Linked DNA regions of Arabidopsis thaliana. The protein of the gene in region 3 purifies or fractionates together with the protein of the main gene of each other region. This does not show direct contact. Each region holds a gene or a part of one and is shown on either strand. Other genes may lie near its edges.

The links. The genes of interacting proteins can lie anywhere in the genome.
Region 1: the proteins of CYCB2;3 (region 3) and NFD5 purify together in Arabidopsis thaliana (affinity purification with mass spectrometry, with the first as the bait; one large-scale study listed by BioGRID). This does not show direct contact.
Region 2: the proteins of CYCB2;3 (region 3) and Rap2.6L purify together in Arabidopsis thaliana (affinity purification with mass spectrometry, with the first as the bait; one large-scale study listed by BioGRID). This does not show direct contact.

The regions. Positions count from the first base shown.
Region 1 is NC_003070.9:6,758,187-6,763,377, forward strand, and holds NFD5 (pentatricopeptide (PPR) repeat-containing protein), read left to right. Parts: upstream 1-1,672; 5' UTR 1,673-1,845; coding exon 1,846-2,952; coding exon of another isoform or gene 2,953-2,964; exon of another isoform or gene 2,965-3,324; coding exon 3,325-4,395; 3' UTR 4,396-4,661; downstream 4,662-5,191. UniProt on the Arabidopsis thaliana protein: Required for karyogamy during female gametophyte development, when the two polar nuclei fuse to form the diploid central cell nucleus.
Region 2 is NC_003076.8:4,269,711-4,275,204, forward strand, and holds Rap2.6L (uncharacterized protein), read left to right. Parts: upstream 1-2,019; 5' UTR 2,020-2,673; coding exon 2,674-2,767; intron 2,768-4,206; coding exon 4,207-4,751; 3' UTR 4,752-4,964; downstream 4,965-5,494. Other genes in the region: PBS3 (Auxin-responsive GH3 family protein), read left to right, coding at 1-530, 627-1,186.
Region 3 is NC_003070.9:7,134,145-7,139,439, reverse strand, and holds CYCB2;3 (Cyclin B2;3), read left to right. Parts: upstream 1-1,611; 5' UTR 1,612-1,900; intron 1,901-2,148; 5' UTR 2,149-2,166; coding exon 2,167-2,221; intron 2,222-2,314; coding exon 2,315-2,447; intron 2,448-2,549; coding exon 2,550-2,597; intron 2,598-2,681; coding exon 2,682-2,730; intron 2,731-2,812; coding exon 2,813-2,959; intron 2,960-3,041; coding exon 3,042-3,176; intron 3,177-3,287; coding exon 3,288-3,377; intron 3,378-3,467; coding exon 3,468-3,689; intron 3,690-3,775; coding exon 3,776-3,874; intron 3,875-3,972; coding exon 3,973-4,151; intron 4,152-4,234; coding exon 4,235-4,367; 3' UTR 4,368-4,781; downstream 4,782-5,295. Other genes in the region: AT1G20600 (AP2/B3-like transcriptional factor family protein), read right to left, coding at 5,203-5,274.

The DNA of each region.
Region 1 (5,191 bases), 380 kb from region 3:
CAACCATTTTGATAAGAGCCACTTAAATTTAGCTGAAAAAAGAATAATACCATAAGAGATATTATCGTCTTCTTTTGGGATAAAATTCCAATATCCCTATCTCTGCATTGATTCTCATTCATAGTTGTACATTTTTATCCAATCCTTTCTTGTTTTATGAAAATGAATTCATTTTAATAATTATAAGTTATAACAAATTATATGTTTTTTTTGTCAAAAATATAGTAAAGTGTATGTTTCATTATTTCTTTTTCTTAACAGAAATTATATATGTATAATTGATTCTGATAATTATACAAGAATTTGGAGATTCAGTGTGGTCTCATAGCATAATAATGTCTTTTTGCACCATTCCTCTATGGTGCAGCAAAAACACCACATAACGTTTATTGTGAAAAGTTTTAAGACACGTCGTACTACAATCTCTTCCAATATAAGTTAGAAGATTACACGACTCATCTAAATTATGTGGTTTTTACTCCATATTGACTAGAGTGAGAGTGATGACCACACCATTCACCATATCCTACTCTCTATAGGTTTTTGTTAGCTATGAGAGAAATAGTTTCGGTCACTATGGCAAATTTAATCCCGACATGAATGAATTATGATGTTTTGGTGAAGGACATTTTTGAGAACAACTAATTGAGTCTTCATAGATAATACATGATCCGAGTTTGGATATTGGATGCACGAGTTTTTGATGTAGTCACCTTTGTTATCACTCATTCTTACTCAAGTACTAGGTAATTTGTTTTTAGTTTTTAGTATTAGTTACTAGTTAGACCATTTTATTTTGTGTGGATTGTATATTACTATATTTGTATGTATCATTTTTGTGCTTACTATATCAAAGAATTGCCATGATTACCGCAACTATACGAAACCTTTATCTACTTCTGACTTAGAAACACTAGTTACAATTTGGAAAGAACGCAAACTTATTTAGAAAAATGCACTCACGCCGCCTAACTTTGACATACAGTAAAACCTCTATAAATTAATAATATTTGGACCAATAAAATTTATTAATTTAGAGAGGTATTAATTTATCGATAAATAAATAAAATTGTACAAATTTTGTAAATTCTTACAAAAATTCGATATAAAATATAGTTTTTTTCCCTATAATCAATAGTATTTCTAAAACCAATTACAAGTAGAAAGCAATTATTAAGTTTGAAAAACAATACAATTTTTTCGATATTGTAAAATATTAGAATTGAACACTACAAAGAATTAACAAAAATTGAAGAAAAACATTACTAGACTCATATTTTACATATGATATTTATAATATATATTGATAAATTTATATAATTATTAATTTATACTATTGATGGACCATATAATTATATAAGATTTTCAAAAATATTATTATCTTATTAATTTATCGATTTTTATCAATTTTTACATTGGTCCCAACTTGCTCAGAATCTGTGCTCATTCTTATGCATTCTAAAGAACTTGCTCAGACTCTCTGCTCATTACAGCAAAACTTCTATAAATTAATACTTGAAAAATTTATTAATTTTTCAAGTATTAATTTATAGAAGTTTTGCTGTATATGTTTGGCTTATGATGTGTAATTTGTTTGAAATTGGAGGGAAATGATGGGACTCTGAGCACAGGGTCAAAAGAGAAACTTTAGAATGCATAAGAATGATTTAAGTATTATTTCTAAACTTGAGGGTTCTTTTTGAAAATTACAAATAAACGGCAAGCCAACCCTAATTCGAGTCCCATTTCTGTGATCTTGACCTCTTCCTTTCTCACTCAATTTCTGAGCTAAAGTTAGGGTTTTGCCGAGATTTATCGTCCTTCTGTTAAACTCTTCGGAGAAAGATGAAATCTTTCCTCCTCTCTAGACAAGCGATCCACCGTATTTCACTATTATCTTCAAAAACCCCAACTTTCTGCAGAAACTTCTCCGCCATTACATCCACCATTTCTCACTCTGATCGTCATCTAAGAAGCTACGACGAACAAACCCCATTCCAAAATGTCGAAATCCCTAGACCCATTTCATCATTCAATCGATATTTCCACTTTACTCGCGAGTCCCGACTCAGTGAATCCAGTGCCGCCATTGACGACTCAAATGACCAAGAGGAAGATGACGAAGATGGAACAACAAACGAGTTCCTCTCACGATTCGTTTGGATAATGCGTGGGAAAGTCTCAGAAGCTTACCCAGATTGTGACAAGAAGATGATTGATGGTATGCTTCTGCTTATTGTTGAGAAAGTCGTGGAAGAAATCGAAAGAGGTGGATTCAATAAAGTTGGATCAGCTCCACCTTCACCGTCATCGGAGTTTAGCGATGATCTATGGGCTACTATCTGGGAAGTTAGTAATACAGTGTTGAAAGATATGGAGAAAGAGAGGAAGAAGGAGAAGATGAAGCAATACGTTCAATCTCCTGAAGTGATGGAGATGTGTAGGTTTGCTGGAGAGATTGGTATTCGTGGTGATTTGCTTAGAGAACTTAGATTTAAATGGGCAAGAGAGAAAATGGACGACGCTGAGTTTTATGAGAGTTTGGAACAGCAACGTGATTTGGATAATTCGATTAGGGAATCTGAAACTGTGGATGGAGAAGTAGAAGAAGAAGGGTTTGTTCCTTCTGATGAAGTTGAATCTAGGAGTATCTCCCTTCCTAAACGAAAGGGGAAGTTGAAGTACAAGATCTACGGGCTTGAGTTGTCGGATCCGAAATGGGTTGAAATGGCTGATAAAATTCATGAAGCTGAGGAAGAGGCTGATTGGAGAGAGCCTAAACCTGTAACTGGAAAGTGCAAATTGGTTATGGAGAAGCTTGAGTCTTTGCAGGAGGGAGATGATCCTTCAGGGTTGCTTGCTGAATGGGCTGAGTTATTGGAGCCTAACCGTGTGGATTGGATTGCTTTAATTAATCAGTTGCGAGAAGGAAACACTCATGCATACTTAAAGGTTAGACTTTAGTTTCAATCATTAAAATGACTTCCGCTAGATTGTTCTTCTGAAATTCATAATCAAATCAAACTTTGATGCATATTTGTTTGTTGTATTGGCCTACTTCTATAGTGTTGGTTCTTGACTGATTTCCCCAATTGTTCGATTTAAGCTTTTTTGCTAATTGGATTGCTATGGAGGTCATTTGATGGGGTGGAAGTTCTGTGGTTTGATTTCGTTACTTCTTTTAATGGGATTCTTGTTGTTGTTTTATTTGTTACTCTAGGTAGTTTGTTCAATCAAGATGGTGGTACTTGTATGCATATGTCTAACATGGGTTTGGAAGAGATGATTTTTAATCAATTGGTACTGGTTTTGATGTTTCAACAGGTGGCAGAGGGTGTCCTGGATGAAAAATCGTTCAACGCTAGCATCTCGGACTACTCAAAACTCATCCATATCCATGCTAAAGAGAATCACATTGAAGATGTTGAGAGGATTCTAAAGAAAATGTCTCAAAATGGGATCTTTCCAGACATTTTAACCGCCACTGCGTTGGTTCATATGTACAGTAAATCAGGCAACTTTGAGCGAGCAACAGAGGCATTTGAAAACTTGAAGAGCTATGGGTTACGGCCAGACGAGAAGATCTACGAAGCCATGATCCTGGGCTATGTAAACGCTGGCAAGCCTAAACTAGGTGAGAGGTTGATGAAAGAGATGCAAGCAAAGGAGTTGAAAGCCTCAGAAGAAGTTTACATGGCTCTGCTTCGAGCTTATGCACAAATGGGAGATGCCAATGGAGCTGCGGGGATTTCTTCTTCAATGCAGTATGCATCAGACGGTCCACTGAGCTTTGAAGCATATAGTTTATTTGTGGAAGCATATGGGAAAGCAGGTCAGGTGGATAAAGCGAAAAGTAACTTTGATGAAATGAGAAAGCTTGGCCACAAACCCGATGACAAGTGCATTGCAAATTTGGTCCGAGCTTATAAGGGAGAGAACTCATTAGATAAGGCACTGAGACTTTTGTTGCAGCTGGAGAAAGATGGGATTGAAATTGGTGTGATCACTTACACCGTTCTTGTTGATTGGATGGCTAATCTTGGGCTTATCGAGGAAGCTGAGCAGCTTCTGGTTAAGATCTCTCAGTTAGGAGAAGCTCCACCATTTGAACTCCAGGTGAGCTTGTGCTGTATGTATTCGGGTGTGAGGAATGAGAAGAAGACTCTTCAAGCTCTTGGGGTTTTGGAAGCTAAGAGAGATCAAATGGGACCTAACGAGTTTGACAAAGTTATAAGTGCGTTGAAAAGGGGTGGGTTTGAAAAAGATGCGAGAAGAATGTACAAGTATATGGAAGCTCGAAAGTTTTTACCTTCACAGAGATTGCAGATGGATATGGTTGCACCACCTCGAGCTTTTGGGTCTGGATCTGGTAGAGTGAGACGATTTAACTCGTAAGTGGAAAAATCTTTTGAAACTTATTCACCATCGTGTGTTCAATGTTCTGAGCCAACTCACATTACGAGTTTCCATTGATTAAACTGTAGTTGTGTTCTGTAATAATCTTGTTCCTTGGAATTTTGGAATCTATTTACTGCTTCTTTTTAGCTATGAGATTTTTCTTATAATCCATTTCCAAGAAGAACTCTTTTCTGAAATCAACTTTCTATTTGGTTTCTCAACATTTTCCTTCGTTTCTTCCATCTGAATGTATTTTTCATGGAAACGATCAGTTTCATTTCGTGTCCGAAAAGTTATTATGTTTCCTCTTTCATAGAGAAACATATAAATACCATAGGTTCTCTCTTTTGAACATTCTCCTCTCGGATCATTACAATTTTGCCAATTATTGACAAAATCGCCTAAACCGATCACAGTGTAGGCCGGGACAAGATTGATTTTTATTAGGAAAATTAAACGGATACTTGAATTTAATTTCTTTTGTTAACTAACTTTGTTTCTTTGTGATCTCAATTTCCTTTTGACGTATACCTCAACTTTGTAAAAAGCGAACATACAATTTCTTTTATCAAGTAGATATAACTTCAAGAAATTCGAAGAGATAATGTACATGTGTGAATTGTGATGTGTCTGCCACGCATCGTACACGTGTCGCTGTCAGCAATGAAAAAGTCAGAACAATCCATTAACGAGCTAAGACAAAAACAAAAAGTGTTGAATCCAGTTGTTTATGCAAGTTAAGCCGACTAATTTAGTATTGTTATGCAGCTAAATCTGTTTTGGATCGAAGTGT
Region 2 (5,494 bases), on a different chromosome or scaffold from region 3:
GACGGGTTCCATCTTTGCTTCAGTCATGGTCCGAGCTATCGAGGTCCTTAAGAATTCTTGGGAGGAGTTGTGTTCAAACATCCGATCGGGCCATCTCAGTAACTGGGTCACAGACTTGGGTTGTCAAAACTCTGTTTCTTTGGTTCTTGGAGGGCCACGTCCTGAATTAGCAGACACTATTGAAGAAATATGCAACCAAAATTCTTGGAAAGGTATAGTCAAAAGACTTTGGCCAAACACCAAATATATCGAAACCGTTGTCACTGGTTCAATGGGACAGTACGTTCCCATGTTGAACTACTATTGTAACGACTTGCCTCTCGTTTCAACAACTTACGGTTCTTCGGAGACTACCTTTGGGATCAATCTAGATCCTCTGTGCAAACCTGAAGATGTTTCTTACACTTTCATGCCCAACATGTCTTACTTTGAGTTCATACCAATGGATGGAGGAGACAAGAACGATGTGGTTGACCTAGAAGATGTGAAACTTGGGTGCACTTATGAACCCGTTGTCACAAATTTCGCTGGTGAGCTTAAAAACATCGATCATGAATTCAATAAAATGCATACTTTTTTCTACATGGTTTAACTAATGTTTGTGAAAATGTTTTTTTTTTCTTCAGGCTTGTATAGGATGAGAGTGGGAGATATTGTTTTGGTGACTGGTTTCTACAACAACGCGCCTCAGTTTAAGTTTGTAAGAAGAGAAAACGTCGTCTTAAGCATCGATTCCGATAAAACTAACGAAGAAGATCTGTTTAAGGCTGTGAGTCAAGCGAAGCTCGTACTCGAGTCATCAGGTCTCGATCTGAAAGACTTCACCAGTTATGCTGACACCTCAACATTTCCAGGTCACTACGTGGTTTACTTGGAAGTAGATACCAAAGAGGGAGAGGAGAAGGAGACGGCACAGTTTGAGCTCGATGAAGAGGCACTCTCCACGTGTTGTTTGGTAATGGAGGAGTCGCTTGATAATGTTTACAAGAGATGTCGATTCAAAGACGGATCGATCGGGCCTCTCGAGATAAGAGTGGTGCGTCAAGGAACGTTTGATTCTCTCATGGACTTCTTCATCTCACAAGGTGCTTCCACCGGTCAATACAAGACTCCTAGATGCATTAAGTCAGGGAAAGCCTTGCAAGTATTGGAGACATGTGTGGTAGCCAAATTCTTCAGTATTTGATTGTTCTTCCTTGGTTTTATATAGGTTCAAGTGATTTGTCTTCTTTTTTTTTCCATAAAGGGTTTGGTTCAATTGATTTGTTGTGATTTGAGAGTGTACTAATTTGTCTGAATGTTTGTTTATATTTTTTTAATATATATATTTGATTCAGTCTTTATCTGATTTTCCTCTTTAAACGGAAAACACCATTGAGAATTTCCGAGTCTTTACTCAGAAACAGAGTATTTTATTCCATTGAACTGAAGTTGGCAAAGACTTGGAAGATGGCCAAACAACTTTGAGATGAAACCAAACCCTTCGTTACACTTCACCACCCTGAGCCATGAGTCCATGACTAACAACAAGTACCAAAATAACAATCCGGTTTCGTTTTCTTTCGGTTCGTGTGTTTTTCAAAAACCAGGTAAACCATGTGTAGTTTGGTTTTGTTTTGGTTATGATGATTTTAGCATAATTTTAGTAGAGTGTCCAAAACACAAAATTTTATATGCAGTTTAGTACCTGACTAATCTTGCAGCTTTTAGAAAAATAATTGCAACTTTGCAAAATTCTCTCCAAGCAAAAGAAAAGATTGGACTCGTCAATAGAAGCAGGCCCGGTCCAAAAGGTGGTACATACAGGCGACGGCCCAAAGGCCCAATTTATCCGGAATTAATATAAAATATGGTTAACTGTAAATATATGATTTTCAAATGGATACACTCATACAAGCTTTGATTCCTAAAATTAGATTACAAAAATTATTTTTCGTACTTTGCTGCATATATAATAATTGATTTGTACATAACAAATCAATTATACGATCGAATTTCAAAATTTTAATAGATAATATACTGGAACAAATACATATACAAATATACCAATAAAAATAAAACTGACCCAATTAGTTTATTTTATTTTTTAGTAAAAAAACAGATGAAAAATTAGAAATGTTGGGTCCGCACTCATTCCTTATTTGTGCATAACACTGCTGCCAAAACATGCGAAGCTAATAAGCTCCCAAAAAAGTTTAAAGATTGAGAAAAAGAAAAAGAGAACTATGAACTCAAAGAACGGTCCTACCCCGCACCATTCCAAAGATTTTAATTAATATTTTTATCATCTATTTTTTCTTGTAGATCCTTCTCTTTATAAAACCCTTTTGTCACCTCTTCTTTCCTCATAACATCACATCATAGCCTAAACCAAAGAAAACCCTTATTTGCGATCCCCACTTGTTGTTCATCACCAAGCCAAGCTCCATGTCCTAGTCACTCCACAGATTCCCTATCATCATCAATTCGTTTCAAACTTAGTTCCTTTCAAAGTCTTGTACATATATACACACACACCTATTATTCTCTTGGTGTGTTTGTGTGTTACATATACGTGTGAGTACATACTTTGTTGTAAAAGTGGATCGGAGGTATGGAAAGGGACCGGTTCCACCGGAAACATCGGCGGCGGCGGATGATAATTCGTCTTGGAACGAGACTGATGTCACCGCCATGGTCTCCGCTCTCAGCCGTGTCATAGAGAATCCGACAGACCCGCCGGTCAAACAAGAGCTTGATAAATCGGATCAACATCAACCAGACCAAGGTAACTAATACAATAATTATATCTTGATCATATGACAGCTTAATTGTTTTTAGCTAGTTGATGTAACTTTGTTATAATAAGTTACACACTAACTAAAGACTTACTATTAATAACCCTTTGTCGAATTTTTCTTTCTTAATTATTATATTTGGGAAAAAAGGAATTTGTGTAGGTTAGAATTCAAGTTCAAGTTCAATGCATCTTTCATTTAATTTACTTTCCGTAAAGAACTTTCCTTCTTGTTTTTGAATTGAACCACCGATCAGCATACAACGTGTCTATCCTCTTTTTTAATATATACATCTAGATTTGATTTTTGTTTGTTTGTTTGTTTGTTTCAAAGTACAAGTTAGATAATATTTTATTGACTCCATGTCTTAAGTCGTCAAACATATATACATATGGCTTCTTACCTAACTGATTAGAGTAATTTTGACCACGCATGTTCCTTTTGTTCATTTTGAAAATTTAGTTATCTTAGATATCATTCTCTATCAACTTTATGGTTGTCCTTTTATCAATATTTTGAAGTATTTCTTTCCACATGATTAACTCGTTTTTAAGCTTCGTTAGTTAGAAGCCAAAATATGTCAAAATGACACATACGCATGGTCTTTATCAAAACTCATGACGAATTAGTTTTAATTATCCTTTTATTTCATTTACACTTTTTATTATTTGAATGCTAAGTTAATCATATGTAGAAACAAAAATCCAGTTATTCTTTCTAGCTAGATACCGTAACTTTTATTTTTGGGACAAAACATTGAATTGACGAGGATTTCTTTTGAGTTTTGAGAATGAATCTTCAATTGTTTAACCAAATATATATGTTTTGCTCAGTATTATTAGTTTATTTGTGTGAATTTTGATATGTCAATATGTAGCTGCTTGACTTTCTGAATATTTCGCTGGTCTGACAGAAAAAAAGAAGAAGAATATTTCGTTGCTTAAAACTGATAAAAGTAATAAATATAGCAATGAATCAATTATTCAACTGGATTGACTCTATTAATAGGAACAGCTTTATAGAAAAATTGTATATATGATTCAAGCTTTGATTTTCGGTTCAGTCCAAATGTCTAGTAATTACAGAAAATGTAAACCACATACTTGAACTTCAGGTTTGATTGCCTGTATATATATTTGATTCCATCAAAACTAAAAAGTTAAAAATGTAATTTTATGAGAGGAATAGTATATAGTCTATCGTGCAAAGTTAAGTAATCCACATAGTTGATACGTTTTAAGTATTATTGTATGCATCATCTTTAGTTAAATCCTTCATTCTTTTCGTCTAAATCATATATATTAAACAATTATTCTCTTGCTATAACCAATCGTTGAAATCCCACGTAGCAATAATTCTTCTCATGCATGTAGAATTGCACATGCAATATGTAATTTTTGTTTTAATTTCTTGTTTCATGTTCTTCAAGATCAACCAAGAAGAAGACACTATAGAGGCGTAAGGCAGAGACCATGGGGTAAATGGGCGGCAGAAATCCGCGATCCAAAGAAAGCAGCCCGTGTCTGGCTCGGGACTTTCGAGACGGCAGAGGAAGCTGCTTTAGCCTATGACCGAGCTGCCCTCAAATTCAAAGGCACCAAGGCTAAACTGAACTTCCCTGAACGGGTCCAAGGCCCTACTACCACCACAACCATTTCTCATGCACCAAGAGGAGTTAGTGAATCCATGAACTCACCTCCTCCTCGACCTGGTCCACCTTCAACTACTACTACTTCGTGGCCAATGACTTATAACCAGGACATACTTCAATACGCTCAGTTGCTTACGAGTAACAATGAGGTTGATTTATCATACTACACGTCGACTCTCTTCAGTCAACCTTTTTCAACGCCTTCTTCATCTTCTTCTTCCTCCCAACAGACGCAGCAACAGCAGCTACAACAACAACAACAGCAGCGTGAAGAAGAAGAGAAGAATTATGGTTACAATTATTATAACTACCCAAGAGAATAATCTAATTATTATTGTTGGTCGAATCAGTTTTATAAATAGCTATCATAGTTTCATTTTTGGTTTCCGTAACCTTTGTTGCATGGAAAATATGAATGAACGAGGGACATGTGTAACAATTTGTTTGTGTTTCGTAAATGTTAGTTGTATTTGGATTTGCTGAAGTTTGATTTTCTGAGCATAAATCATTTGACGGTCATTCATGAGACATAAATTGACTCTTTAGAGCTAACCAGATATGAGTAATTAAACATAATCCAAAACTAGATTTCAACTATGCGGAACCTTGACAATATAGCGGCAACCCATACACAAACCTCTATCATCGACAACCTCAACGAACACGTACGAACCACAATACACCGTTTATTTACCGTCGGATATATCCAATTGCAAGCAACAATCCTAATTTACTATAAATATATATATATATATATATATATAATAAATTACGTAGACTAAATTCAAACAAAAATAAACGTGCAGATCTTGTTTAACAAAAATAAATAAATACACTAATTTACTTAGACTAAACAGCTTGTTTGCATCAAACTAAAGTAATAAAACATCAAAAATAGGGAAATAATTAGTAATGCAGTATCCTTCCCCATACTTATATCTTTTCTAATCTATGAGCAAATCATTAACCAAATTTGGGTGATACTATTATTCCATAAACATCAAAATATCAAAAGAAAAGAGAAAGCAAAAATCAAAGTACAAAAAGATTGAGGGGAATGTTACTC
Region 3 (5,295 bases):
AAAATCTGAAACAAGAACTTATAGAATGATCTCAAACTTAACCTAATGGCATATCATATTTATTTAATGTATCTATATCAATGGAAACAAAATGCTATTGTTGTGTTTCTACATAGAAACGCAATGTTCACACTTCTACACAAATGACTTGATTGATTTAAAAGTGATTGATAGTAAATGCAGTATATCAATGCCATTATCATGTAAACAACTCTATATATCTTTTTCCCATAAAAATATAGTACGATATTCTAATGATACACTTGAAGAAGGTCTAAACTTTGTGTGAGATTTCTTACTCGAAAAAGAAAATCATTTAACTTGAGATTAATATAAATGTATTTGATTTCTTAAACGAGTCTTGGTTTTTGGTCAAAGGTGATGTATTTGATTTTTTAAATAATAGTATTTTATTTGTTATTATAGAAATGTATATTATATAGTGTAATTTTCGAAAATAAAATAAAAATAGTTGTCTTTCCCAAAATAAAAAAGGGAAGGGTATTATCATTCTTACTCGGAAGAATCGAAAATTAAGTCCATTTTTTTCTACTGTTTATCTTACACTATTTTTGTGGCAAATACAATAATACCTCTATATTATATAACTATTCTTATTGCCATACCACTGTACCTGTGAAGATTACGACAATGATAGTTTTTGTTCAGATTCAGTTCAAATTGGTTAACAATCAAATTACCGAGTTAACTAATACTTTATCTAGAGGTAGTGACAATAATAATCTTATTGGATGAAATTCATATTTTGCACGTTATAGTAACTCGTTAATTTTTTTATATGATATAATAAATGAGTTAAGACGGTAAATATAAATATATCACATAAGTTATAACTTATTGCGATTCAAAATGACTTAGCATGACATAATTATAAATTTATTGATATAAATATTTTGTTATCATGTTAACCTAATAAATATTACCGAGATATTTGTTATTGAAAACAAAAAAAACCCAAAGAATTTGAATAAGTACACATACACATGGATGAAAAACAATGATAGCCGTTGAACATAAGGCAACTTTCGATTTGGAACACGTGGCATTAATCCAACAGCTGATATGAACTAGGCAACTAGCTGTTAATTTTAAAGATATTATACAGACAATATATCCGCTCTTCTAGTCTTCAAAATCTCTATTATTCTTTATTTTTTCTTTTTTTCTTTGCCCTTGTAGTATAATATTCTAATGATACACTTGAAGAAAATCTAAACTTTGTGTGAGATTTCTTGCTTGAAAAAGAAAATCATTTAACTTGAGATTAATATAAACGAATCTTGGTCTTTGGTCAAAGGAGACATATTTGATTCTTTTAAATAGAAGTGTTTTATTTGTTTTTATAGAAATGAATATTATTTCATGGTGTAATTTTCAAAAATAAAATAAAAATAGTTGTCTTCCCCAAAATAGAATAAAAGAAAAAAAAATCAAAGAATTTGAATAAATCTATACATAGATGATATACAATTATAACCGTTGAATAGAAGACAACTTTCGATCTGGAACACGTGGCGTTGATCCAACGGCTGAGATGAACTAGCCGTTAATTTTAAAGAAAACTAATACACTATAGACGCTCTTCTAATCTTCAAAATCAATCTTACTCTTTTTTTTTTCTTTTTTTCTTTACCCTTATAAAGAGAGATAGAGAGAGAGTGGGAAGTATCTTCAAAACCGAAGCCATTAGAGAGAAAGAGAGCGTGGTTGAATCTTTGGGTTTTACTAAAAGATCTCTCTTTCTCTCCTTTGTTTGATCAACTTGGATCCAACGGGATAAAAGACTATTAGGGTTTAGGAGATTCACTGGGTTTCATAAGAATTTATGATCAAGGGTCGACTTAATCTCGCGTTGGTTCTTTGAATTGACTGTGAAAAGGTGATTTTTTTGAAAAACCAATTCGTGGGTTTTCGTTATCTTCTGGGTATTTGAGATTTAGGTCTTTGTTGTTCTTGATTGGGTCTTTCATTGAGATTATTAAACCGGATCTATAGGGTTTTGATTGTCAAGACTGTTTTTTTAGTTTCAATTTTGAAAACCCCTGCTTTTAAGTTGGGGGATGTTTCGATTTTGAAATTTGATTTCTTCAAGAGAAGAGATTTAATGAAAATAAATAACTTCCGCAGATAACGAAGAAGAAGAAAATGGTTAGATCAGATGAAAATAGCCTTGGATTAATCGGATCAATGAGTCTCCAAGGTACCCTAAATCGATCGATTTTGTTATTAAAAATCAAAACTTTCGTTCTCTTTGATTTTTCCCCCAAATTGATTTTGAATTTACTTGATGTAGGGGGAGGAGTAGTAGGAAAGATCAAGACGACGGCAACAACAGGACCGACAAGAAGAGCACTAAGTACTATTAACAAGAACATCACTGAAGCGCCGTCTTACCCTTATGCTGTCAACAAGAGATCAGTTTCTGAGTAAGTTCACTTTAATCCTCAGATTCAAGATTAGTGTTTTTTTTTTCTTCTCCCTTTGATTAGACTCTTATAGGAACCCTATTTCTTTCTGTGACTTTGCAGAAGAGATGGCATTTGTAATAAACCACCTGTGCATCGACCAGTTACTAGGTAAGCATAGATCTTTACTCTTGTCTACTTTGAGTATCTCACATTGTCTGATTACTTAACTTTTACTACTCTCTGTTGGTTCAGGAAGTTTGCTGCTCAGTTAGCAGATCATAAGCCACATATCCGTGATGAGGTACCCTATTGTTCAATGTATGTTTCATTTAGAGCAATGATGATATAGACCGGATTTTAAAGTTCTGATCTTTAACTCTTAGGAAACTAAGAAACCAGACTCAGTTTCAAGTGAAGAACCAGAGACGATTATCATTGATGTGGATGAAAGTGATAAAGAAGGAGGTGACTCTAATGAGCCAATGTTTGTACAACATACTGAAGCAATGCTGGAGGAGATTGAACAGATGGTATACATATTTCCTAACCATTCTTTGCTTTGTTTATGGAAGTGTTAATATAGTTACTCATATTGTTTGTGTCTTTCAAAAGGAGAAGGAGATTGAAATGGAAGATGCAGACAAAGAAGAAGAGCCTGTGATCGATATTGATGCCTGTGATAAGAATAATCCTTTGGCTGCGGTTGAATATATCCATGATATGCATACCTTCTACAAGAATTTTGAGGTGAATTTGTCTTGTTTCACATCAACTTTTGCTTTTGTGTTCTTTATCATCGAAAGGATTGTAGTTTCAAAATCTTGTACTTATGTTTGATTCATTCTTATGATTCTGCAGAAACTTAGTTGCGTGCCTCCTAACTATATGGACAATCAACAAGATCTTAATGAGAGAATGAGAGGAATCCTCATTGACTGGTTAATTGAGGTAGACAGATCTAGACAAAAGCTATTTAATGCCACTTTTTTTGTCTCAATGTGCCTGAAGATAAATTGACTGGAAAATTATCTTGTCCAGGTGCACTACAAGTTTGAACTGATGGAGGAAACTCTTTATCTCACAATCAATGTCATCGACAGATTCCTTGCGGTTCATCAAATCGTGAGGAAAAAGCTTCAGCTTGTTGGTGTTACTGCTTTGTTGCTTGCATGTAAATATGAAGAAGTTTCAGTTCCAGTGGTAGATGATCTCATCTTGATCTCTGACAAAGCTTACTCTAGAAGAGAAGTGCTAGATATGGTGAATACACAACTTTGTCTTGATCATTAACTACCACTGGTTGATGCTTCATAGTTGAATTTACCTGTTTTTGGTTTCTATTGCAGGAGAAGCTAATGGCCAACACCTTGCAATTCAATTTCTCTCTACCAACTCCATATGTTTTCATGAAACGATTTCTCAAAGCTGCCCAATCTGACAAGAAGGTATATATCTCCCTAACTAAAAAAGCTTGAATCATTATATCCGGAAACCATCAGGCCTAATATCTAAATCGGTGTGGTATATGCAATTGTGGTTTCAGCTTGAGATTTTATCATTCTTTATGATCGAGCTTTGCCTTGTGGAGTATGAGATGCTAGAGTATCTTCCATCTAAGCTGGCGGCCTCAGCAATCTACACTGCTCAGTGTACACTTAAGGGATTTGAAGAATGGAGCAAAACCTGTGAGTTTCACACAGGCTACAACGAAAAACAGCTACTGTAAGAACATACATTGATTTTTTTGAAAACCCCATGACATGAGATTTTGGTATCCTGACAGTGGGTTTTTGTGTTTTTTCTAGGGCATGTGCGAGAAAGATGGTTGCTTTCCATCACAAGGCAGGAACAGGGAAGCTCACAGGAGTTCACAGAAAGTACAACACATCTAAGTTCTGTCATGCTGCAAGAACTGAACCAGCTGGGTTTCTGATTTAATATTAATAAGAATCTAATATGACTTAACTCGAGTTTTTCTTTAGAACAAAAAGAGTGTGAGAGAAAGAGAGATAGTAGAGCAAGTTGCCCAAAATGGGAGAAGAATGGATCTTTAGATATCATGGCAAGTAGCCCAAAAAGAGTGTATTCTTCTCTTTCTAAGGTCTTTAGATCTTTCTTCACTTGAGAGAGAATAAAAAGAATCTTCTGATATCATGCTTTCCTATATTCAACTTGTGAATCGATTCTTGTATAGACTCAGGAAAATCTATGATCCAGTTTGGTTAATATTACTCGGGAGCTGAACCTCTAGACTGAATCAAATATTCTTCTACATGTCGTTTTGGTACTCTGGAACTGAATCTCTAGACCCTATCAAATATTCTACAAGTACATGGCAATTTTTTGGATTGTAATTTGGGAAAATTGCAGTTGACAAGGTTTTTACATGATGAAAATACAAGTACAATATTCTTTTATAGCTTATATATTAATGTTATAAATGACCATATAGACTACGTTATTTAGACAACTCAAAGTCTACAGTATTGCAGTCTTTATTGAAGGAGGATATAATCATTACTTCTAGTATTTCATAATCTTGTTCCTTCAATTTATCTTTGTTTTCTGATCTTAGTCTTATTAAGACCTTTATGAAAACAATGTACTTTGTTTTACTCATCTACTGTCAGAAATGGAGAATGCGCAAAGAAGAAAATAGATCACAACGAAAACTTGTCAATGATTCAAACATCTTGGTAACCCAAAATACAGAACTAGTAGTGCATCTGGACATATCTCTCTTGTTCTCCTTTGTTTGGTTTTACAGTGTTCTCTAAGAAGTGTTGCAGCACCTGACTTTGCTGCCTCGAATGAAGACATGCTCAAGCTGTGATACCTTACCATCCTGTAACATAGCAATGAAAAA